Drosophila melanogaster: one gene and its partners. The protein of the gene in region 3 interacts with the protein of the main gene of each other region in a pairwise test. Each region holds a gene or a part of one and is shown on either strand. Other genes may lie near its edges. The genes, in order: CG4080, su(r), Dora and Cse1.

Region 1 (5,041 bases), on a different chromosome or scaffold from region 3:
TTTTGTTGCTGCCACTGCGAAAGTGCTTCCGATGGAAATTTGCGAATTCCCCGGAATCGTGTACTTTTCGGTAACCAAATATTTACGTTCGTTAATCTAATTTGAACTTATATTCGTTTCTTATCGCCGTTTTTTTTTCTTGAGAAATAAACGGCTCAACTATCGTTATGAATGTTGTTTATAATTAGCTGATAAAAGAGGGGAAAATTTGTTTATCAACAGAGAGTCGAATATGAATGTATGTACTATGAAAGCGGAACTGTTTTCAAACTGAAAGCCAAGATTAATATTACAAAATTATACTTTGGCTCAACACTTACTGAAAATGAGTAAGAATATAATTGTTGATTTCTCTGGATCTGATAACTAAGTTTATATAGCATATTACCCTTAAATCGCCTAATTATGCGAGGGTCGTTTGGTAAATTCACATTACGGGGGCATTTCGTGTTATTTGCGTAAGATTTGGGTCTTTTGAGCGCTTCATTACCACCCGTGCCCACTTGTAATTACGACTAAATTAGCGCATTTTATTAAATTCCACGCCCGAACACAACGGAACGGGCCACGCCCTCACCAGCTCCGCCGGACCAGATGAAACAAGTAATCTTCGCATGGCGCAAGGAACCGGATGATTCCAAGGGATGGATGGGTGGTGGAGGGGGGAAGGGGGAAATCGGAGTCAGGCGGGGTCCAATTCAACTGTTTTGCGCTTTGTTTTCGCTGCCTGTTCGTTTGCTTTGTTCGAATGCTTTTTGATAATTTGCGCATTATTTTTTTTTTTTTTTTAGCGCTCTCTGCGTGTAAAACTTATTTTAAAGTCCAAAACCCAACTGGTTTAAGTTCGAGGCAATTAATGCAAAAGTTATACCCCCCCAACTGGCGCCACCAAAAATATACATTTGCATACATATGCAATGTATGAATGTTTGTGTGTGTATACACATTGCTATTGTTTTGGGAAAACCCATGCGAAATGCAAGCTTGAGAAAATTCGCTTCTTATCAATGGTTTGTTTTTCGCTACGCTCCATTTTACATTTTCACGATAGTCGACAAATATTTGATCGTGATGGCCCAAGCCGATACAATAGCCAATGTTTATTCAACAACGACACCTGAAATAACAGCAAAGTGAGACACATTTACTCACTCCGGCGACAGATTAGATTTGCGATGGCCAGGTGATAAGGCTCATCACACTGACATCGGGGGTGTTGAACGGTCTGTATTTCACAAAATACGAGCATACATATATAAATTATAGCTACGCAAGAGCCGCATTTCTCAACATTCAAATACAATTGAGTAAATATGTTTATTTAAGAGCGTTCCATTGAAAATTTGATGAATAACTAAAGATAAAGATACAACATCTATGAGGCAAATAAAAGTTGGTAGCCACAAATACTAATACCAAACAATACGAATTAAGTGAATCGAAAAGCCAGTACCATTAAACTGCTTTAGTTATGGAGAACGTCTTCAATGACTGATATATAATTATATTTATGATTTATCTTCATTTTAGACCTCATTGGCTTCATTAAAAGTCGTAAGAGTATTGGGTATGGTCAATGCCCCGCTGTCACGTCAGATTGCAATATAAATAAATCGCGCGTAATTTATAAACCTATAATTGTATAAACAGATAACAGCTGGCGCCTCGCGTCAAGATCTTGTCACCTTCCCAGCATCGTAGTGTCCATATTTGCATTTCAATCGAAGTTGCCGATCGGCATGGAACTAGTATGGTAAGTAAGTAAGTACAAGTCAATGTTGTTAACTATTGCCTAATGATTGTCATTAGCAGGCGTTAGATGGGGATTACGACGATTGAGATCTCAACAGTTGATGTTGGTGCAGAGCAACAAATTAAGGGAATGAATCAATCGCTGCTTGAAATTGGGTTATTTTCGTTTTCATTTCGATTAAGGTATATCTTATCTGCGTGTCGGTATGGACAGCTGGATTTGTTTATTGTGGCGCAAAGAACACACATTGATTTTTAGCACTTGCAGCCTGCGTTGAGAACTTAATTATTGTGATTTCCCAAACGACGAACAATCAAACATTTAAATCATGTCCGTTTCCTGGCTATAAATAAACAATGGACAATGCCAAGAAGAATGTCAACCATCCCACGATTTTTCAATTGCGTGCTTGCACTTGATTTTATTTTATTTCTCGTTTTTCTTTATTTTACTTTTTTTTTTGTTCTTTGGTGTACTTGAATAACTTATAGGATTCCTTTTTTTTTGGCCATATCAAGGGCATTCAAAACTCACCTGACATTCGCATAGTGCTGGCCGGAATTCCAATCCACATGCTCGATATCCGAAGAGGTTTTGGCGTTGTCGCAAGGCATTTTGTTCGTAACTCGCTCTCTCTCTCTCTCTCTATAGCACTATAAACTCGATTGCAGGGTATCGCATAGTCGGGGCGATGCTGCACCGCAACGCGTGGGGGGTTTTCAACCCCAAAAAGGGAGGGGGGTGGCGGACGCGGGGGAGGAGAGCTCCTTTGTCTTTTATGCTGGCTAGTCTTGCGCCTTTGTTATGATTCTCCTCCGCTGGCCATATATTTGTTTATTCCCAACGATAAACAGAGGCTGTCGCCTTCTTTATTTTTAGCGACCCTGTTGGCAGGGGCTACTTCGATTTTTTGCACAATGTAAACCGAATCTATTGCACTGTTATTCTCCTTTCATTTCGTTTCATTTTTCCCTTTCAACGCCAACGAACTTCTGGCCGTGTGTGTGTTTGTTTGTGTTGGTTAGCTGGTCTATTATTATATCTTTATTCCGCGACAAACTTTAGTGCGTTTGCTTGTTAATTTGTTGTTACTGGCCCGGTACGAGCTGTTCGTTCCACTACTCTACGCTAAATGGCTATGCTTGTTAGAATTGCACATATATTTTATGTATTTTATTTAGCTAAACACGGAGACATATCCTTACACGATATCTACGAGCGACGCGACCAGTGTGACTGCGCCTACACAATTGAAACATGTCACATGCAGTGTGACCGTTCTTGGCTGAATGGAAAAGCTCTCACTCATATAAAATTCAATAATAGGTTAATAAAAAAAAAATACTGACTTATTTTTTAAATACAAACGTATTTACTCTAACAATATAAGTAAAAAGCTAAAATTATTTTAATGTCTATTTAGGAAACCTATCGATATATCGATACACATTTTTTTTTGGCCACCCTAGAAATTGCTAACGTATTTTTAGCAACAAATTGAATTCCAAATTTGGAAGTTTTGCTTTAGGTGCCCATATTAGGATACAAGCTCGTTTTAGTAATACAACAAGTAATTATCCCAAAAACAATATAGGTTAACTTTTTTCTATTTTAAAATATCTCCAAAATCAAAGATCAAAAGTATCCGGTTTTAATGTAGGTTTTTATTAATATACTTTTCCGTCTAATCCATTATTGACAGTGACTACAAAAAGCGGATAGATTTTATATTATGCCGATTTTTGATAACAAAGGGGGTTCCGTTTCGGTTTCGTTACGCGGGTCTTAGACAATAGTCACGATTAATCGCTACTGTTGCTTATAACGATAAATAAATGAAAGACAAAATAATCAGTGTGGGATCGGACCGAATAAGGAGCGGCCAGTTATTAGCCGCCTACAAAGTGTAGATCGATTTCACGTTGGAGCCCTGCTTGACCATCGTGTCCTTGTGCAACTGATACTGCAGCGAGTTGTTGCGTCCCAGACGCAGGGCATCGCGCAGCTTGTGACCAATCTCAAGGGCAGCTTCCTCGTTGTTTCCGTCGGCAGTCCAGATGGCTGGAAAGCATTAATCGTTAAACAAAGGAATTCCGCTGAAGTTGGGTGTGCGTGAAAACTTACATATCTTGTTGCTCTTGCCGCGAATGTTTATAACAGCGCCGCAGATCTGATCAGAGTGATCGAAGGCCTCACCAATCAGGCAGAGCAGCTGGAAGGCAAAACAGTTGTAGTTACTCATATGCGAAAAATATTTATGATATAAGCTCACTATTGAATGTTCCTAAGACAAAAGCTAGCACTAGCGTATTTTTAGCTGATATTTTCTATAAGTTATAATTTATATTGCAAAATCATACACCTATTTCTATATTTTTGCATTTCAAGAATGTACATTCACTATAAATAGACCATCCGCTCACCACTCGTTTCTTTGTGCACTTACCACATCGAGCCATAGGTTATCCAGATCGGTCTTGGAGCTTTTGTTAAGGGTAATGACCCAACGACCGCCCTGTTTGTTGGCTGCATCCTCCCACATGGGACTGCAAATGAGATATCAGTTAGTAAAGGTTATCTTGGCAGAATTGCAATAAACAGCAAACCCACCGAATGTTCTTCTTGAATAGCGAGTAGTCACTACCCAGCTTGATCTCTGATGGGGGCTTGATGTGGTTGTATAGGCTCCAGAAGTCCTCGACGGTATCGAAGCTGGTGATCTCGTTTTGCATGTCCTCCCAGGACTTGGACCGATCGTTTTCAAGGTACCACAGCGTCCAGACATTCATGAGCGGGTGTTTGTATAAATGCTCGGTGCGCACAGCATCGTCGCCGGCAGGAGCAGTAGTGGTTGCAGTGTTGCCTGCTGGTTCACCAGTCTCCTGTGGGTCCTCCTTGGGCTTGACATCCTTAGCCTCGGCGGGCGCTGCAGCCGAAGTTGGTGGTTCCGGACGACCCTGCTCGGTGCTGGGGGCGCTGGTCTGCGGGAGAAGATGGCAATGGATGGGAAGGGGAATCAGAAGATTAGATTAGCTTGGCTTAGCGACAGGCGCACTGAGAGTATTACTTTGAACATGGACTTGGGATTGGCAAAGTTCTTCATTCTGTGAAAGTCGCTCTGCATGTTGGCGGCCGTGTTTATTGGATGCGTTTGATGGTAGGATCAGTTCTTTTTCGGCTCCGGAGTGGGTTCGGATCGGTTTCGATTCGCCGTGATTCACTTGCCGCTCTCTCTCTGTCGCGGTGTTTGTGATAGTTGATAGTTGGTTGGTGCGTGTGTGTGCGAGA
Region 2 (7,469 bases), 9.7 Mb from region 3:
CAGATTAAATCTATTGCCTATTTGAAAGTAGAGACGACTAGTTTTTTTTGACGCACAGCTGCTACTGGATTCCTACGTCGTTCCGTTTTTCTGTTTTTCTAAACTAAAATTTTCAATATCGACAAACAGCTGATCCCATTCGATAGTATCGCCTATATTAGGGATGAGAAAAGTAATATGGTAAATAATTAATGTTATATATATTTCAAAACATTAAAGTAAATTTCGTTGTTGCTACTTGAGCTTAACTGTTCGTTAATTTCGCAGACAATATATATTAATAGAATTTTTGTTTTTTTTTGCTAAAAAATTGGTCTCCAAAATCAGCTGATAGACATCGATAAAGTTGGGAAAAGCTTGAGTTGCGCGCCAATTTCAAATACGAATTTCAAATCAAAATGATTATAAAATAAGTGGATTGGTCATCAGTGATATAATAAACATAGTAATTTTTTTAAAGTTATTTTTCCTACTTTCGTATTTTTAAGCAAATAAAACTGAATGCCATCTTCTGCTTTTGAAACATGTTTTGTATTTAATTGAATTACATAGATTGGAATTTACTATCGGTATTTCGCGTAGAACTAGGGACTTTTACTGGCACTGGCTGAGAGCGTGGGTGTAGAAGATCTTCTCCTCGACTCCTCGCTTGATCACGTGCGGAATCTTCTTGGGCACCATGCTGGAAATATATAAATACATAATATAGTTAGTTAACCAGTATATATATGATGCTGGTGACATTGAGGAACCCACGTGATGCAGTCGATGATGGGACAAACGGAGACGCAGAGTGTGCAGCCCGTGCAATCGTCGTTCACGTGCGGAATGTGGGTGTCCTTGTCGAATTCGATGGCCTGGTAGCCGGAATCGGCGCAGGTCATATAGCACTTTCCGCAGTTTATGCACATGTCCTGGAAAGCACGGATGCAATTAGAAATTTGGATACTTTAATGATAACTCAGCACTCACATCATCGATGAGCGCCACCTTCTGTTGTTTGTTATCCAGCTTGTTGTATGACCCGATCTTGTCTAGCGCTGCTCCGATCACATCCTTGATTCTTGGTGCCGGATTGGGTGCTCCATTGGACGCCGGAGGAGTGGCCTTCACCTGCTCGGCATCCCAAAGAGCTCCCTTCTGACTTCGCAGCTCGGCCATCTTGATGTCGCGCTGCCGCTGGTAGGGACCAAAGAAACCCAGCGTGGCTTTGCCCTCGCCGGTCAAACGGACAACGGGCTTGCCCTTCTGATGGACCGGCGTGGGTGGTGACTGGCCATCCCAGAAGGGACCATCGACTGGTGGCGGATTCGCCTTCAGGTAGAGCAGTGCCTTCAGTGCCGTGCAATAGTCCTCGATGACGGTGAAGTCCTGGTTCTGTACGGAGGAGCAGATCTGCAGAACAGTGGCGCCCGCATGAATAAACTGCAGCGCAACCTCACCGGAATCGATGCCACCGATACCGAGAATGGGGAATCCCGGCACACGGTTGGCAATATCAGAGATGGCCTTCAGAGCCATCGGACGAGTGGCATTGCCGGAGACGCCGCCGTAAGTGGTGCGCTGCTCCTTGCCAATCGCCGGCCAGGCGGTGGAGTCCGCCTTGAGGCCCATCAGTCCCTGAACGGTGTTGATGGCCGATCCGCCATCGGCTCCTCCCCGCTTTGCGGCCGCCGCAATGGAAACGATATCCGTAATGTTTGGCGTTAGCTTGATGAAGAAGGGCAGCTTGACCGCCTTTCGCACCCAGCGAGAGATCTGCTCCACCAACTCGGGATCCTGGCCACAGGCCAAGCCCATACCTCGCTCGCCCATGCCATGTGGACACGATAGATTCAGCTCGAGGGCATCGGCACCCGACTGCTCCGCCTTAATGGCCAACTCCGTCCAGTCTTCCTCGTTGAAGCTGCACATAATGCTGGCTATCACGATCTTCTCGGGGAAGTCACGCTTCAGTTCTCCAATCGATTTCAGCCAGTACTCGGCCCGCTTCTCCGAGATTAGTTCGATGTTCAGGAAACAGCCCTGCTGCGGTCCATACTTGTAGCCCGACGTGGTGCCCCTGACGATGCGCGGCGAGACATTCGTGACCAGATCCTTGTCCAGACCGAACGTCTTGGTCACCACAAAGCCCCAGCCCTGCTCGAAGGCGCGACGTATCATGGCCGTGCTGGTGGTGGGCGGTGCGGAGGCCAGGCCAAAGGGATTCTCGAACCGGATGCCGCACATCTCCACCGATATGTCCACGGCATCGATGTCCGTATAGAAGAGCGGCAGTGCAGCCGGCGTGTCCAGTGGCAGGCCCTGCAGTTGACAATGAATGCTCCAGGCGGCCACCTTGCCATCATTGACCGACTCCACCGTGGTGTTGGCCACTCCAGCGAGATCGCCGCCGAGGAACACCTGTTTCACACTGCTCTGCATCGTCACCCTGTCCACCACGGGCAATTCGCCGCGGAATTGCAACGGCGCTAGTGCCGCCTTGACATCCTGATCCTCCAGGCCGGACCCAAAGGCGGAGATCACAAAGTTCGCCTTCAAGCGCTGCGTCTGCTCCTCATCCTCCACCCATTCATCGTTTTCGTTCTGCTCCGTGCGACAGAATTCCATGGCTGTGATCAGGCCATCCTTGACGATCACTTTGCGTGGACTCAGGTACGGCAACAGCTCACAGCGTTCGTCACGCGCCAGCTCCACCTCTTCGGGCACAGCACGAATGCCGGAGGATCCTTTGCGGAAGACGACGAACACACGCCTAGCACCACATCTCAGCGCCGAAGTGGCGCAATCGAAGGCCGTATCACCGGCACCCAAAACGATGACATTGCCATGGAGCTTGGGTAAACCGGCCGCTGCCTTGCAGGCGCACAAACCCGGTTTCGAGCCATCCGACACCAAGGGCAGGAAGTTTTTCGAGGTGTAGAAACCATTGCTGGGCTGAAGGCCAGCGAAAATGGGATTCAGCTTCGGTTCCGGCAGGCCAATGCCCACAAAGACGGCATCATGGCCGGTGGACAGGAGTCCCTGGATGGTCAAATCCTTGGTGCCCAGCGAGCGACCCGTTTCGATGCGTACGCCCAGATCGCGAACCAAATCGATCTCAAAGTTAACCGCATCGATGGGCAGACGATACTGGGGAATTTCAGCGGCACTCAGGCCACCCAGATAGCTTCTCCGCTCGTAGATGGTCACATCCCGATAGCCCAGACGGGCCAGGAAGGTGGCGCACGACAGCGATGCCGGTCCGCCGCCCACGAGGGCGATCTTTTGCGACAGCGGATTGGCCTCCGCCTGCGGTGTCCTCCGCTGCCGCACGCCCATCTTCTTGAACACCTCGGTGGCGAACTGCTGGAGGCCACCAATGTTAATCGGTCCCGCCTCGGAGGCCTGCAGATTGCAACCGCCCACGCAGAGATCGCTGGTGGGACAGACCATGCCGCAGGTCAGACCCAGCGGATTGTCGGAGAAGATCGCCTTGGCGGCGCCATAGAAATTCTTATTCGCAATGCTCGTAATGAAGCTCTTGATGTCCAGCTGCGTGGGACAGGACTTTTGGCACGGAGCATCGGCGCATTTGAGGCACCTGGCCGCCTCCTCTAGAGCTCCGCGCTCCGACAATGTGGTGTGCTTGATGTCCGAGAAGTCGTTGGCCAGCGTGGTGCACGGCGGAGCAGCGTGATCCGCATTGCGTTTCCAGTGCTTCTTGTTCTCCTTCGTCTGCTTGGTGGGCACCACGGAGCACTGCGTCTTCACTCGCGGATTTAGCGACAGCAGGTCCTAGGAATTACGAAAGGTTTTCACTATCAACGGGAAGTGAATCATGATCCAGGACCTACCTCAATATCTGGGGAGTCCTTGCTCAAAAGTTGGGGCGGACTCATCTTGCTGGCACTGTTTCACCTGTTAATGAAGTGAAAGTGGAACATATGGATTACAGACTGCGGTTGATGGCCACGTGCAGATCGGCGAACTACCCTATCCCTATCGCATCGCAGCCAGAATACCCTAATCGCGAATGGTGACTCCCAGTCGTCTTATCGCTGCCCCACTCGAAATCCAAATCGATCCTGGACAAGACGCTGTATCTAAGTGCACTAATGCCACACCATTGGTCTTATCATCTTATGTATGAGGGCGTTATCATCATATCAGTCAAGGCTGCGACGGCTAGCGGAGATTATGATGGCTTTATGATGGCACGCATATTGGCACCACCCGGTTTTCTATACGTTTCTGTATCTGCTGTTTTTCCACCAAAAGTTTCAGAACCCCAAAAATAAATGGTGCCACCCCACGAAGAGGAAAGATTAGAAACCGGCGAAGGTTACGATCGGGGGGGCCCGTTTCGCTTCTTTTTTTTTTAGCGATAATGGGGCAAGCACTCGATTCGGAAGTTCTGCTTTCGATTTCATTTAAGTATCTAGTAGGTTAAGTATCTCAAGCTGGCGTAAATGTATCTATTAAATGTATCTCAGCTTAGAAGAAGTAATAAACTAACTTCGAAATACATATTCTATTTACAGTTGCTTTTCCTTTTAACTTTGAGAATTGCCACAAATATTATTATATTATTAAATATTATTATTATTATTATATTATGAACCAAATGCCAGAAACTTTGTAAAGTAATACGCATTTAATAAAAAAAAACTGTCACCGTTGCAAATCGACGGCGGAAGTTGTTTTGTATGCCTTTAGCTGTATCTTCTAAGCATGTGCTTAATACAAAGTAAACATTATTCATTATCTATTAGCACAGTGAATTAATAATGGTAAGTAAACCGACTGTTAGCTATTGCCTAATTATAAACGATAATAAAGTTGTTTTACATATTAACCATTCTCACATTACCAATTACTTGGCTTTTTGTGAATAGCCATAACTATTTTAATCACACAAACGTGGAGCTTTGCTTTACAAGACCTTCAATCGAATTCAATTCAATTAATATTTTGTAACACGCGCTATCTCCCTCGGCGCCGCGCGCCCTCTCGCTCTCGCGCACACTCTAGCGCGCTGATTAAGAATTTTTATAGATGTATTTTGTTTTTTTCGTTTTTGTCATAATAGTTGAAGCCCCCAGCTGCTGTTTGTTCATTATCAGTTTGGCTTCGTGGTCCGGCAAGTTTTTGAATATGTTTTCATTATACGTAGGTACATATGTATATGCTATATGCTAATGGCGAAATGCGAAAAACAAGTTCAGAATTCGAGCTGCTGCTTATGCTTAAATTGGGTTTCGTTTCGTTTGATTGTTAGATGTTTTTTTCAATTTTTTTTCTTTTTGCTCATTTAGCCAAGATTGGTGGCCGCAATACATACCGATCGAAGGAACGTTATTAGCTAATTTATGAACACTTTTTTTTATTAGAATCTTTAGATTAGCACAGCGAAAAAAAATAATAATAATAGCTATTCACTAGCTGGAGTGAAAATCGACTGGCGACGGTTTGGCGACTAAAAAAAAAAACACGAAAAATTCGAATTGGTCTTCACACTGGAAACGCCCAATTGAAAATGCTCTTGGAAACCGATTTCCAAATCGTCGTTAACTCGGTTTTGCGTCGCAGTCGGCGTCGCTGCCGACGTCGGTCTTCCCATTTCACAGGGGCGTAGCCTAGCTCCCAAATGGGGGGGGGGGGGGGGGTCTTTATCAGATTTTACACACAATAGCTTTAGAGTCGCAATGAGATAACAATATGAAGTTAAGTTGCTGGGCTAGTAAGTAATAGTATATCTTTATTATTTTCTCAAAACAATCCATATATATATATATAGTTCTCGTCTGGTATGTCTTTGCAAAAACATTGTTGTCTAGTTGTTAACGTTGTTGAACACTGAGAAAAACACGCAAATCATAACGAGATAAGATCTTATATATTTATTACATAAGATTATATATTATGAATTTAAAACTCAATCTCGTAAAAGTATCTAAGAGGTTTATTTTTTATCAAATTTTTTTATATTTTCCATTTGATTTTATCACTATCCCAATTTTATCTCTAAGATGGTATCTTTTCGAACTTTTCTTAGTGTAGATAAAGTATTTCAGGGTGTGCTATTCGATCGCCTTAGTTTTGTTTGTACACTCTTCGCTCTCAGTTTCGATTGAATCAACCTTACAATTTACTACAGTAAGTATTCAGTTGAGCGAACTTCTACAGAATTTCAAATAGATGCTTTAATAATTGCAATGGTACTAAAAATATAATAATATGAATATTATTTCTTCAGTTTTCTTAGTTCAGATAAAGATTATTTACTGAATGATTAGATGTTACATTTTGCAGAATGATAGAAGTTTGCAAATAAATATTAATTAGTTGAATATCAGGTAGTTTCACTTTGGAGATTTTGCTGTAGCACATTACATCAGTTCATTCATATAATCACAGCCCAAAAGAATGCTATTTTAGAGGATTTGTATTATATATATATCGTTATTCTTTCATAAAATTTTTGATAAATATACCAGCATATTTGTTAAAAGCTAAACATTTATAAGCTTCATTTGGATAATTTTTGAAATCAAATCAAATTGAAGTTCGCATTTTGGCAGTTTACCTTTTGGATTTATTTATCAACGCGGCTTTTACATAAACTTGGCCTAGAAGTATGCAATCGTTTAATTGAAATGCTCATTCTAAAGTGTTGTGTTTAACATAAAGAATACAAATAGCTTATTTTCTAAAATGTTGCAGACATTTTAGATTGCTAACTTATTATAAAATATATAATACGTTTCCGGTGCTCCTAGCATTTATTTTTGGCCATGAGCATTTGCTTTTCTTGATTTATCTGCCATTAAATTGTAATCATATTGGCCATAAAAACGCAGACATTCTGAGTGCCAAGTTCCAAGTTGGCACTGGCCCGTGACATTGGCCATCAACTTGGGATAATCTCTAGCTGAATGGCCAGATGAATGAGTTGTTTGCAGTAGCCTTTTCTAGTCGAAATCCCCGGAAAGGCGCCACTAACGCCTGCCAGCCTCCATTGGCTGCCCATTAAAGTGAAATAAATAACTCGGGACTACAGGGGGCCAGAGATTAACCTCACTCCGTGCGTAGTAAATCAGAACGCTTAATTAATACACAATGCAGGCGGGTTAATAAATTACTTACAAAATGCATGCCGAAATTCAAATGCGTTTTTCGTCTGGGCGAAACGTGTTGACTGCCGGATTCCATTATTCACTTTCGCCACTTTTTGCAGGAATTAGAATTTGAGCGGACAGCATCTGAGTTCCATTTTCACATCGCTCATTCCTCATTTGGGTGGCATCCCAGACTTTGGTATAATTCCTTCAGAGGGCCGAAGATCGGAGAGTGATGATGGCGCCCATCGCAACTACAATATATTGTTCACTAAAACAGGGGTCGATTGGCCGGATACCCAGTAGCTCTTCACAAAACTGATCACTACTTTAGGCATTTACAATTCCTTTTCCAAATATGAAATATGG
Region 3 (4,711 bases):
CAGAAAGATAAAAATGATTAAGATTGAGCAAAGTTCAGCTAGTTTTGCCTAGTACATATACTATATTTTGTAATACTAGTGCTTAGTATCAATAAATATCAATAAAATCAACAAGCTGGTAACCCTGGCTATCAAAGAATCCACAAAGAAGACAACTGAATGGTTGGAGGTTCTTTGGCGGCTTTGCCGCTCTGTTTAGTCCTTTGACCCTTCCAAATATAGTCCTGTTTCCCCCCACAGCAACACTGCTCAGTCAAACAAAGGAAAATAAGCAAACGAATGCAGTGGATGGGCAAATGACGAAGACGAATGGAGGATACGAAAGAGAAACAGCGACGAGGACGAACTGCGCAGTCGCAGCCAGATATCCAGATATTACATGATGATAGTGCTGTGCGGCGGCGCACAGGATACAGAAAACGTGTAAGGAACGTCTCTTGGCAGGCCCGAAACAAAAAAAAAAAACAATACCCCAGCCACATGCACAAGCGTAATGAGCCACAGGGAAAGACAAAGGGACGCAACAAAAAGGTAAAAAGGAAACTCGTATAAACGAATGAAAATAAAAAACGTTGGCAGCCAAAGTCGTGATTTTGACTTCAGCGATAAGCAGAGGACTTCGAGGAAATGCGGGGAAACGAAGAAGACAATTGCAGACAGAGGGCAACAACAATTACAGCCTGCTCGTTGTTGTGCCTAAGTCAATTTTACAGAATTTACCAAAAGCGAAAAGGTCATGCGTATAATTACAGGCAGCACAGTGTAGCCATATTGCAAATAGCCAAATGCGACCAAGCTAGTAAAACATAGAACTAAAGCATATCACTCTACTTAGCTTAAAAAGTAAATTGTGTAGCAAGTAATTGATTATTTAACGCTATACGGATATAAATCTGTATAAAATGTACATGTAAGTTTCTCATTGTAAAGGGAAAGTTATAGGTATAAACTATTTTGGTTGCCTTATGGTTTTAAAAACAATTAAGGAAGTCAATATCTTTTGTATGCGACATATGAAAGCTTCTTATGAGAAAGTCTTTCTTAATTCCTGAATAAAAGAGGATACTTTTTTGATATCTTTAGGACGCACACTTTTCGAACTCTAAAAACTGTCAATGTTGTACAATGTTTTTCGGATTTTAAGAAGCTCTCTTCAGTTTAGATTTGTATCTGTGATTTTCACAACTGTAGTTTCACTGGTGTAATGCTCAATGGTCCGGGTACACTGCCCTAAATCCCGCCCTAGCAACAAGGAGATGCTACTCACCATAATGTCTGCCGCAGGTGGATGTGTTGGCCATGGCCGTTCCATTGCCGCCCGGTGTGCAGGAACCAGAGGCTCCTGCTCCTCCGAACGGCGGTGCTCCTGAGCCGCCGGCCACAGCCATACCGCCCATGCCGCTCAAGCCGCCATTGCCTGCGCCGCTGCCTGCAGCGGGCTTCTTCCAGCCGCGCCAGTTGTTGCACAGCGATTCCGGTTCAGAGCTCCAGCTGCAGAGGGAGTCTTCCTCGAAGCGGATGGAGTCGTCGAAGCTGAAGCGGTCCATTTCCTCCGGATTCCATTCGTTGGCCGCTGCTCCTGCAGCGTCTCTGCCCGCCGCTCCGGCTCCTGCGCCGCCTCCTGCTGCTCCTTCGGCGCCAGCGCCGACTGCAGCCGCTCCTCCGCCTCCTCCATTGTTGTTGTTGTTACCGCCGCCTCCTCCTCCTCTGTTGTTGTTGCCGCCGTTGCGATTCGCCAGCGTGAGGCTGAGATTGTGTGTGTTTACAGTTGCTCCTTCTACTGCTGAAGCTGATTCTTGTTCTTCTTCTTCAGCTGCTCCCCCGTTTGTTTGTTTTCCTCAGCTTCCTCTTCCTCCGTCTCTCTCACTGTTACTCTCCTCTCTTTTTGGATGGATGTATATGTATAATGGATCTCTGCCAAACGCTCAATTTAAAATCGTGTAAAAGGCGAATTTCTCTTGAGCGTTCTTCTCTTCCTCTTTTCTCTCTCGCTGTGTTCCTCTCCTTCGGTTCTCCCCTTTCAAACTCAAGCACACTGCCGGACTCGCTTGCTTTTAATTAACTTATTAACTGTAGATTTATGCTTAGGGCTCTAAGTTTCCCTTTTAGACTTAACTTTAGGTTTAGATTTAGATTTTGGGGAGTTTAAAAACTATTTTTGTTTATATGTACAAAATACGTTCAGTGCGCCGCGGTCTCTGTCGCTGCCTCTGCCCGCGTCGACTGCGACTGCTATTGTTTGTTGTCGTTGTTGTTGCATGTGAACTTTTTCGTATCCCCCAACGAACGAGAGAGCGAGATGGGGCTATGCTATGCGACTGCCGAAATAAGAGGGCCAATTTGTAGTTGTAGTTCTTGTTGTTGATGTTCTTGCTTCTGTTATTATTGTTGATGTGGTTCTTGCTGTTGTTGTTGATTTTGCAGGGGACCCCCAGTCGTTGTTATTGTTGTTAACGCTCCTCTTTTATCCGCTCTGCGCTTTGCAGTCCGCTTTGCCGTTAATTATTTTTTCACTCCTTCGCTTTGTGGCTCATCTTCGCTTTATCCTGCGCGCACCGCACTCACTCTTTCTCGCTCGCCCTCACTCACTCACACAGCAGTAGCAGCAGCAACAACAACGTTGCACACAACATCAATATATTGGATATATATCAACACTTTTTCGCCTGCGTGCTTGTCAGTGTGTGTGTGCATGCGTGCGCTTGTCGATTTTCACTGCCTTCTTTTCTTTGTGTGTGTATATGCGCTGCGCGTTGTGTTTGTCTGCGTCTGTGCGTGTGTTAGGTTTACGTGTGTGTGTGAGTGAACGAACGAAATGCGTTTAGCGAACGTTTTTTTAAAAAATCCTTAAATTTTTTGTGGATTTTGGCGATTACCGACACTTAAAACGGCACTGCACACGCGTCCCCGAAAACAACGGCACCTAGATTCGCTGGCCGAGTTACGATTTGTTTGATGCTACGCACGGTTTTCGGACACTTTTACACGGGGCTTTGTTTTTACCCATCGCATCGTCGACTCTTTTGCTCCTAAACGTTGTTGGTGTTAGTGGTCAGCGATAGTGCTCACACACTCGATATGGGTTTTCGATCATTTTCGGCTGAATATTCGATAAGGTCAATAGTATCGGTTTTCCGCGTACGATTTCCCAGTTTTCAAATGACGGTCACACTGACATTCATTCTTGACAATCGATAGTTTTTGTCGAGTGACGCTCTTAATATCGAAAAACCATAAGTAACGATAGGCCCATTTTGTTGGTGGTGTTCACAATCTTCTCGCGCTTTCCCAGGAACTGGTCAAGATGCCCATCGCCGGGCTGTGCATCGAACTGCGCCCGAACCTACGCAGCGGCGTGGTCTTCCTGCGATTCGACCAACAGGTTTCGCAGAGCCAGAAGACTCGCGTCGTCGTCCGCGACTACAATGTTTATATCAGCGAGAAACCTAAGAATCAGGCAATCGACTTGGATTCCAGCTCCGAAAGCGACAGCGAGGACTCCGACAAGCTGATGCTCATCCGGCACGCGCAGTATGGTATGGACATTGTCTGCCTGTCCACGTTCTTGGTCAGTGGCAGGAACATCAGTTTCCGCTTCAACTACAACCAGATTGATCTGGCCAGCGTGGATGGAAGCGCTGTGGACGTGCCTCTGGCGCCACTACTCCTCTCCTGCCAGGAGAACGAGCCCATCACTATCAACTGTCGTGATTGCCGAGCGGAATTGGTGGCAGGCCGAAGCTATCGCAGGTTGAGGGAGTTTCCCAGCCTCTTGGTGGATCCCACTGAGTTCTTTTGCCACAATCATGGACCAGCGGGCAAGACCCAACCAATTAGCTTAGTGCCCGCCGAAACGGATCTTTTCTATGGCCTCAACTATGTGGTCATCAACTTTAACGAAGAAAGTTCGTGCATGCTCAATCGCGACGATCACTTGTACTGCCAGCGCTGCATGCGTTATTTGGGGCTGACCATGTTCGATGGCGCCGCCGCTCGCATCTGGGCTGATGCAGTACGTTGGCGTCCCGCAGGAGCGGCGACAAATGCCCCCGATCGCCACTTCTTCCAAAACTCCACGCTAACGCAGCTTTTCAAGCGTCTGCTGCACTCGCTGTGGCCTCAACCGTTGCCTCAGCTCTGTTTGAACACCAGTCGTGCGGTGCTGGTCACCTCGCTGCCCAACCGAAATCAGCAATACATGTTTTTGCACGTGGTGGAGTCACAGCTGCGTGTGCTGCGTCGCATTCGCCCAAATTCGAACCGACTACGCTGCTTTCGCGCCTGCAAGCTGTACTACGGCGTTTTTGGAGCCAATCCGCCGCTGCTGGAGAAGTGGCAGGCGCAGCAGACGCTGCCCCAAATGGATGTATCACCGAACATGTTCCTAAAGATTCAGAAGCGCCTCGAGACGAATGGCCACTTGATTCCGGACGCCTTGAGCACGAACTGTGCGGAGGAGCACCTGCAGTTGTCGTACTTCTTTTATGAGAACGAGGATCAACACGACGGCGGGGTCGTCGCTTCGGATGTGTTTACGGATCAAATGAGCAACGTGTATCAGAAGGAGGTGGATCCGTACGAGACGGATGCAGGACATGCCAGCGAGAGCGATGACGAGTACTCGGATACGGACACCGCTTCGGGGGACACGGCGGCTTACTCGCTCGGCATGCGTACCCTGCAGAAACGCAGCCCCACTCCGCCGCGGTCT
Region 4 (6,551 bases), on a different chromosome or scaffold from region 3:
ATATTAAGCTCACATATGATCGACAAATGTTACTTGAAATATAGGAAAAAAAATTGTCTGTTTTGGCTTGGGCAGCGATGAAGTGTGACCATATGCCGCATAAACAATCGATAGATCGTGTATTCTAGGGAAGGAACTATCGAACAAAGAGCTTAATAATTACATTTTTTTCGTTTCATATAATTTAAAAATTAAAAACATTTTATTTAGTTTAAAATTTGATTTATTTACATGACACTTAAATTCATTAACAAATGCATTCAATAACAATCTATTTGTGTTAATCAGTACTACATGCATGTGCAAAAGTCATACAAAATATGCTTTGTAAATTGGCAATCACAAGTTTCCTTCTTAACTTGCATTCTGGCTTATAAATTACGAAAAGTACACGGACCCGACCGATGCAGATATTTCAGTGTTGCTCCATTTTTAAATGTTAACCTTTTTTGAAACCTAACTACTGTAGTCGGTGCCGTTGAGCGAGTTTTTGAAATGCTGGACGACATAATCGTGATAATAGGCCATTATGCACAGAGGCTGACCAAGAATAATGGAAGCCCACACGATTATATTGCCCATTCGGGGACCCAGTTTCTTTTCAATGGATTTGGATATGGCCGATAGGGGAATCTGACCCATCATGCCCATAAATGCCCAGATCTTGTATATTTGCAAAGGAACTGAAACCTGAAAATATAAATTATATTATTGTACAAAATTTGAAATTCTAAATATCAACCCTCATACCAAATATTCATGGAAGACGGCACTGAAAAGAAAGACAATAGTAGAGGCCTGTCTTGAGGAATATCCCATTTGGACCACAGGGATGTAGAGATGACGCACGCACCACCTATGAACTGGCATGTTCCATGTACGCCAGAAGGTGTCAATGTTATTCGCATTCCACCAATCACAATAAAAATTGCGATCTGCAAAATTCAGCAGTTCGCCGACCGCATTAAGAAAAGAGTGGAACATTAGATAGAAAAAGCAGAGCCAGCAAAGATGATTGGGTAGCTAATTAAAGAAAAATTATTAAATAATACTCAAACGTTTTATAATTTTCACTCTACCAACCGCAAGTTTAAGAAGTCGCTCAGTGGCTAAGGCCACGTCCATATTGGAGAACGGAATCAGGGAGTTCCGAACCGATGGAATGATCCATTGTTGAAACAAGGCCATAACCACATTCACTCCAATCACCACCTCCAATAAACGCTTCAGCAAAAAGCGTTTGCGCACGCGAGAAGTTCGCGGGAAATTCAACTCATAGCAGAGAGTGGGCGCGCAAAGGAAGTACAGGAGATCCTTGTATGTGAGATTATCAGGATATTGCACCAGCTTGGAAACGTCCTCGTCTTCTTCACCTCCATTCAAAACTCCTTTTTCTGGATGAAAGATGAATTTTTAATATATGACATTCCGTTGAGAGATCTCAACATACTTAGTTCCGCCAAAGTTATGCTTGGTCGACGCTCCCGCGGATTCTTTTGATAATAAGTCTGACGGCACCACATATTCGTCTGCACATAGGACCATAGTTTTAGGAACAACACAGAGTAAAAGAAGCAAACTGTTGAAGCGCCCACTAAAGATTAACAGATAATTAAATATTTTAAAATACACCTAAACTAAGTTAATTTCTCACTCAAACTAAAAGCATGTCCTTTTAGGTGAATTGTTACCACCGGTAGGCAAACCAAGACAACAATGTTCACTATCTGGATGAACAAGCCCAAGCCCTCTGCAATTATTTCCTGGAAAAGAATTACAAATTTGTTTTAATTTTTAATTCATTCAGTTGGTTTTTGAAAAAAAAAAACAGGAATTGATATCATATCAAATGATACTAAATTAGTAAAGTTCAATATGCGATATTTCTGATATGAACATTTAAAATCTAAAACCATCGAATCCTAGTAACAGTAACTATAAACAATCGATATCGAAAACTCGCCCTGAGTTCCATCCCCAGATCGGCGAGCATTGTGTGCGAAAACGAATTGCGATTTCATTTCATGTTGCAAGAGTGTGGAGGAACAAGCCACGAGTGATATAAATTAAAGCAAATAGGACCATCGAAAAGAAAATATACTCAAAATGGAAGTGACAGAGGCAAATTTACAGCTGCTGGCCGGTTATTTGCAGCAGACGCTGAGCGCCGATCCCAATGTCCGCCGGCCGGGTGAGTGTGTGTGTGTAGGAATGCATGTGCACACACACAACTGCACATGCGTGCAGGGGTGCTGATGTGTATGTGCGCGGGAAATGGTTTTTGGCGACGCCAAAGAAAAATACGGTTTTTAAATCCATTTGAAGTTGTCTACAAGTTTTCCCTATGTCAAAGAATTTATACAGTCACGCTTTCTATTAATTGAATCGAGATTAGCTGATCTTGATATGACTGTTGCCAAGCCACCTTTCAAAACCATAGACCTAGTTTTAGGATTATTTAAGGCATACCAAGCCTATAGACTCCGCACCACCATAACCAAGCTTTTGAAAATATTGTATAAAAAACTTATTGCTTGAATTGAAAATATGTTTAGTCTAACGAGAAACACTGTAAGCTCCTATCGGTTCCTTATATATTTGTATTTGCAACATCCGATTTACATAAGTACAATAGTTCTAACAAACACACCATTTCCTTCTCTACTTTTATAGCCGAAAAACTTTTGGAGTCCACGGAACTACAGCAGAATTACCCGATCCTACTGCTCAATCTGATAGACAAAGCCCAAATGGACATGACTACGCGGGTGGCGGGAGCCATTGCCTTTAAGAACTATATTAAGCGGAATTGGGCAGCCCACCTTGACAGCGACGGACCGGATCGCATCCACGAAAGTGACAGGAATACAATTAAGACCTTGATCGTTACGCTAATGCTCCACTCACCGGTGGCATTGCAAAAACAACTAAGCGACGCGGTCAGCATCATAGGCAAATATGATTTTCCCAAAAAATGGCCGCAGCTTATCGACGAGATGGTGGAGAGATTTGCCTCTGGTGATTTCAATGTCATCAACGGCGTTTTGCAAACCGCACACTCGCTTTTCAAGCGCTATCGTTATGAGTTCAAGTCGCAGGCTTTGTGGGAGGAGATCAAATTTGTACTGGATCGTATGGCTAAACCTCTGACAGACCTGCTCCAGGCCACAATGCAGTTGACTAAGGTGCACGAGAACAATGCCGGCGCCCTGAAGGTCATCTACGGTTCATTGGTCCTTGTGAACAAGGTGTTTTTCTCGCTCAACTCCCAAGATTTGCCGGAGTTCTTTGAGGACAATATCAATACGTGGATGGGAGCGTTTATTCAGCAACTAGCTGCGGATGTGCCATCCCTGCGTACTGCAGATGATGAGGATGCGGGTGTTCTAGAGCATCTGCGTGCTCAAGTCTGCGAGAACATTTGCCTTTATGCAAAAAAGTACGACGAGGAGTTCAAGCCATTTATGGAGCAATTTGTGACTGCAGTTTGGGAGTTACTGGTCAAGACAAGTTTGCACACCAAGTACGATTCGGTAAGTAACAGAAACCATACGCTTTCTTAATAATTATTTTTATAATTTTTCCATTCTTATTTTGCGCACAGTTGGTCTCCCATGCTCTGCAGTTCCTCTCTGTGGTGGCTGACCGCCAGCATTATCAGAGCATTTTCGAGAACCCAGAGATTCTTGCTCAGATCTGCGATAAAGTTGTCATTCCCAATCTAGACATCCGGCCCTCAGATGAAGAAATTTTCGAGGACAGTCCGGAGGAGTACATTCGAAGGGATATTGAAGGCTCTGACATTGACACACGACGTCGGGCGGCATGTGATCTGGTGAAGACTCTATCAATCAACTTTGAACAAAAGATCTTTGGCATTTTTGGCCAGTATCTAGAGAGATTGTTGACCAAGTACAAGGAGAATCCGGCTACCAATTGGAGGTCAAAGGATACGGCAATTTATTTGGTTACTTCGTGGGCATCTCGAGGAGGAACTCAAAAGCATGGCATCACACAGACCTCGGAGTTGGTTCCACTTCCCGAATTTTGTGCCCAGCAAATTATTCCAGAACTGGAAAGACCCAACAGTAAGCCCAAATAACCATTTTCCCAATTCGATCATCTTATATCTGCATTCTTCCAATGCTCTTTGCAGTTAACGAGTTTCCTGTTCTTAAGGCTGCTGCAATTAAGTATGTAATGGTGTTCCGCAGCATTTTGGGTCCCCAAGTCTTAGCAAGCTGCCTGCCCCAGCTAATTCGACATCTCCCCGCCGAAAGCTCTGTTGTTCATAGCTATGCTGCTTGTTCAGTGGAGAAGATCCTTTCTATGCGGGATGCTAGCAACGCGATCGTTTTTGGTCCTCAGATTTTAGCACCTTACACAACTGAACTAATTAGTGGGTTATTTGCGACCCTTTCACTCCCAGGTTCCGGTGAAAATGAGTACGTAATGAAAGGTGAGTTTGGGGGACTATCTCATACGTTTCTAATATGTTAACAAAACTCTAATTATTATTATTAGCCATTATGCGAAGTTTTTCGGTCTTGCAATCGGCCGCCATGCCCTTTATGGGCGTCGCCCTTCCACGGCTTACCGAGATTCTCACCCAAGTGGCCAAGAATCCATCGCGTCCGCAGTTCAACCACTATCTTTTTGAAACGCTGGCTCTGTGTATAAAGTAAGTGTTATGCATTTTGGTGGTAAAGAGCAATAACAAATTTTCTTTTTCCCTAGAATTGTTTGTCACGCCGATTCCTCGGCTGTGAGCTCCTTTGAGGAGGCATTGTTCCCAGTTTTCCAGGGCATCTTACAGCAGGACATTGTCGAATTTATGCCCTACGTCTTCCAGATGCTTTCTGTGCTGTTGGAAATGCGCGAGGGCACTGGTACCATACCGGAACCCTATTGGGCTTTGTTCCCCTGCTTGTTGTCACCAGCTCTGTGGGACAGGACGGGCAATGTCACACCATTAATTCGCCTGATTTCTGCTTTCATCAAGCAGGGATCTGCTCAGATTCAAGCCTTGGGTAAACTGGTAAGTTATATTATACATCACAAATTTTATTTTACAGAGTCCAATCTTATGCATTTTTCAACATATATTTCAGAGCGGTATCCTCGGAATATTCCAAAAGATGATTGCCTCCAAGGCTAATGACCATGAAGGGTTTTATCTTCTCCAGAATCTGCTTTCCTACTACCCTCCCGCTGAGATTCAAACTAATCTTCGTCAGATCTTTGGCCTGCTCTTCCAGCGATTGTCTCTCTCAAAGACTCCGAAGTATTTAAGCGGCATCATTATCTTCTTTAGCTTTTATGTGATTAAGTTCAGTGGCAGTCAGATGGCTCAATTGATAGATGAGATTCAGCCTAACCTATTTGGCATGCTGCTGGACCGCGTGTTTATCACCGAAATGGGCAAGATTCCCAAGGAACAGGATCGCAAAATGGTGGCCGTGGGTGTCACTAAGCTACTTACAGAAACTCCTGAGATATTGCAGCAACAGTACGCTACTTTCTGGCCACGACTGCTGCATTCTCTAATCGATCTTTTTGAACGACCACCAGAGAAATTGATGGGTCTCGAAATAGGAGAGACAGCTGGAGTTGCCGAAGATCCCGATGCGGGCTATCAAGTGGCATTTGCCCAACTGACTCATGCCCAGCCCAACCAGCAGGATCACCTGGCTGAGATTAAGGATGCTCGCCAGTTTCTAGCAACTTCGCTCTCTAAGTTTGCCCAGGCTAGGGCAGGAGAATTTTCCACTTTGTTGTCGCCCCTGGAGCCGGAGTACAAGCAAGTACTCCAGAAATATTGTGATCAGGCTGGAGTACGCATTGCCTAAAGGAATCGACCGACTTTAAGCTCATTCATCGCAATCAAACCTCGCCATACATTCGAAAATTTATGCATACACGCACTCGATCACTCATTGCATGCCCAGTTTATTGTCATTTAAAAATTGTATCTAATATATGTAAGTTTTGTAAACAATTAAAAATTATGTTTTCCGAAACTAGTGTGTTTCAACTGCGATAACTTCTGAATATTTCATACTTTTCTCTCTGATAAACAAATCATTTCTTGTCAAACACCCTTCACTCAATTTCAAAATTGTGAATTTAGAATTAACTAGATATTTCGAAATTTATCATATAAGCCATGTTCAAGCTAATAACGTATTTCAAGTCACGATCGAAGAAAATAGGCGTGAGATGCTATCAAAGTAAGTACTTACCATGGCTAGACCCTTCTCCACAGCCAAACAGAGCGAGATATGCACTAAAGAGTCTGTAAAATATGGTGAGACGAAGGTTATCAATTTCGTTTGCGTAATCCTTGATTTTGTGCGTGCTTACAAATGCTCAGGATTAGGGCGTTATGTCCTTCGCCTTCGTTGTGTCCGCTTATGAAGAAGAACCAATCCAGTGGATTGATGCGAATGCCATACCTAAAAAAATAATGAATTAGCTAAAACTTGTATTTCTACTCAAGATCATCGTAGTTACTTTAGGAGATTCTCCAAGCCCAAACGCAGACCTCCAAT

Evidence for each region.
Region 1: the proteins of Dora (region 3) and CG4080 interact in a two-hybrid assay, tested with the Drosophila melanogaster proteins (one large-scale study listed by BioGRID).
Region 2: the proteins of Dora (region 3) and su(r) interact in a two-hybrid assay, tested with the Drosophila melanogaster proteins (one large-scale study listed by BioGRID).
Region 4: the proteins of Dora (region 3) and Cse1 interact in a two-hybrid assay, tested with the Drosophila melanogaster proteins (one large-scale study listed by BioGRID).

What each region holds. Positions count from the first base shown.
Region 1 is NT_037436.4:9,396,220-9,401,260, forward strand, and holds the start of CG4080 (uncharacterized protein), read right to left. Parts: upstream 3,009-5,041; 5' UTR 2,368-3,008; coding exon 2,288-2,367; intron 1-2,287. Other genes in the region: eIF4E1 (eukaryotic translation initiation factor 4E1), read right to left, coding at 3,651-3,814, 3,878-3,965, 4,200-4,299, 4,364-4,734, 4,821-4,877.
Region 2 is NC_004354.4:9,196,297-9,203,765, forward strand, and holds su(r) (suppressor of rudimentary), read right to left. Parts: upstream 5,525-7,469; 5' UTR 5,324-5,524; intron 3,901-5,323; 5' UTR 3,882-3,900; coding exon 3,837-3,881; intron 3,778-3,836; coding exon 973-3,777; intron 915-972; coding exon 757-914; intron 683-756; coding exon 595-682; 3' UTR 512-594; downstream 1-511.
Region 3 is NC_004354.4:18,862,276-18,866,986, reverse strand, and holds the start of Dora (dorado), read right to left. Parts: upstream 3,038-4,711; 5' UTR 1,548-3,037; coding exon 1,268-1,547; intron 1-1,267. Other genes in the region: CG7326 (uncharacterized protein), read left to right, coding at 3,305-4,711. UniProt on the Drosophila melanogaster protein: Substrate recognition component of a SCF-like E3 ubiquitin-protein ligase complex that promotes target-directed microRNA degradation (TDMD), a process that mediates degradation of microRNAs (miRNAs).
Region 4 is NT_033779.5:16,820,622-16,827,172, reverse strand, and holds Cse1 (chromosome segregation 1), read left to right. Parts: upstream 1-1,965; 5' UTR 1,966-2,106; coding exon 2,107-2,191; intron 2,192-2,673; coding exon 2,674-3,533; intron 3,534-3,604; coding exon 3,605-4,088; intron 4,089-4,156; coding exon 4,157-4,459; intron 4,460-4,524; coding exon 4,525-4,681; intron 4,682-4,737; coding exon 4,738-5,038; intron 5,039-5,111; coding exon 5,112-5,849; 3' UTR 5,850-6,017; downstream 6,018-6,551. Other genes in the region: mdy (midway), read right to left, coding at 457-690, 751-1,023, 1,084-1,394, 1,451-1,594, 1,655-1,763, 6,243-6,295, 6,364-6,455, 6,514-6,551; CG13280 (uncharacterized protein), read left to right, coding at 6,167-6,230. UniProt on the Drosophila melanogaster protein: Export receptor for importin alpha. Mediates importin-alpha re-export from the nucleus to the cytoplasm after import substrates have been released into the nucleoplasm.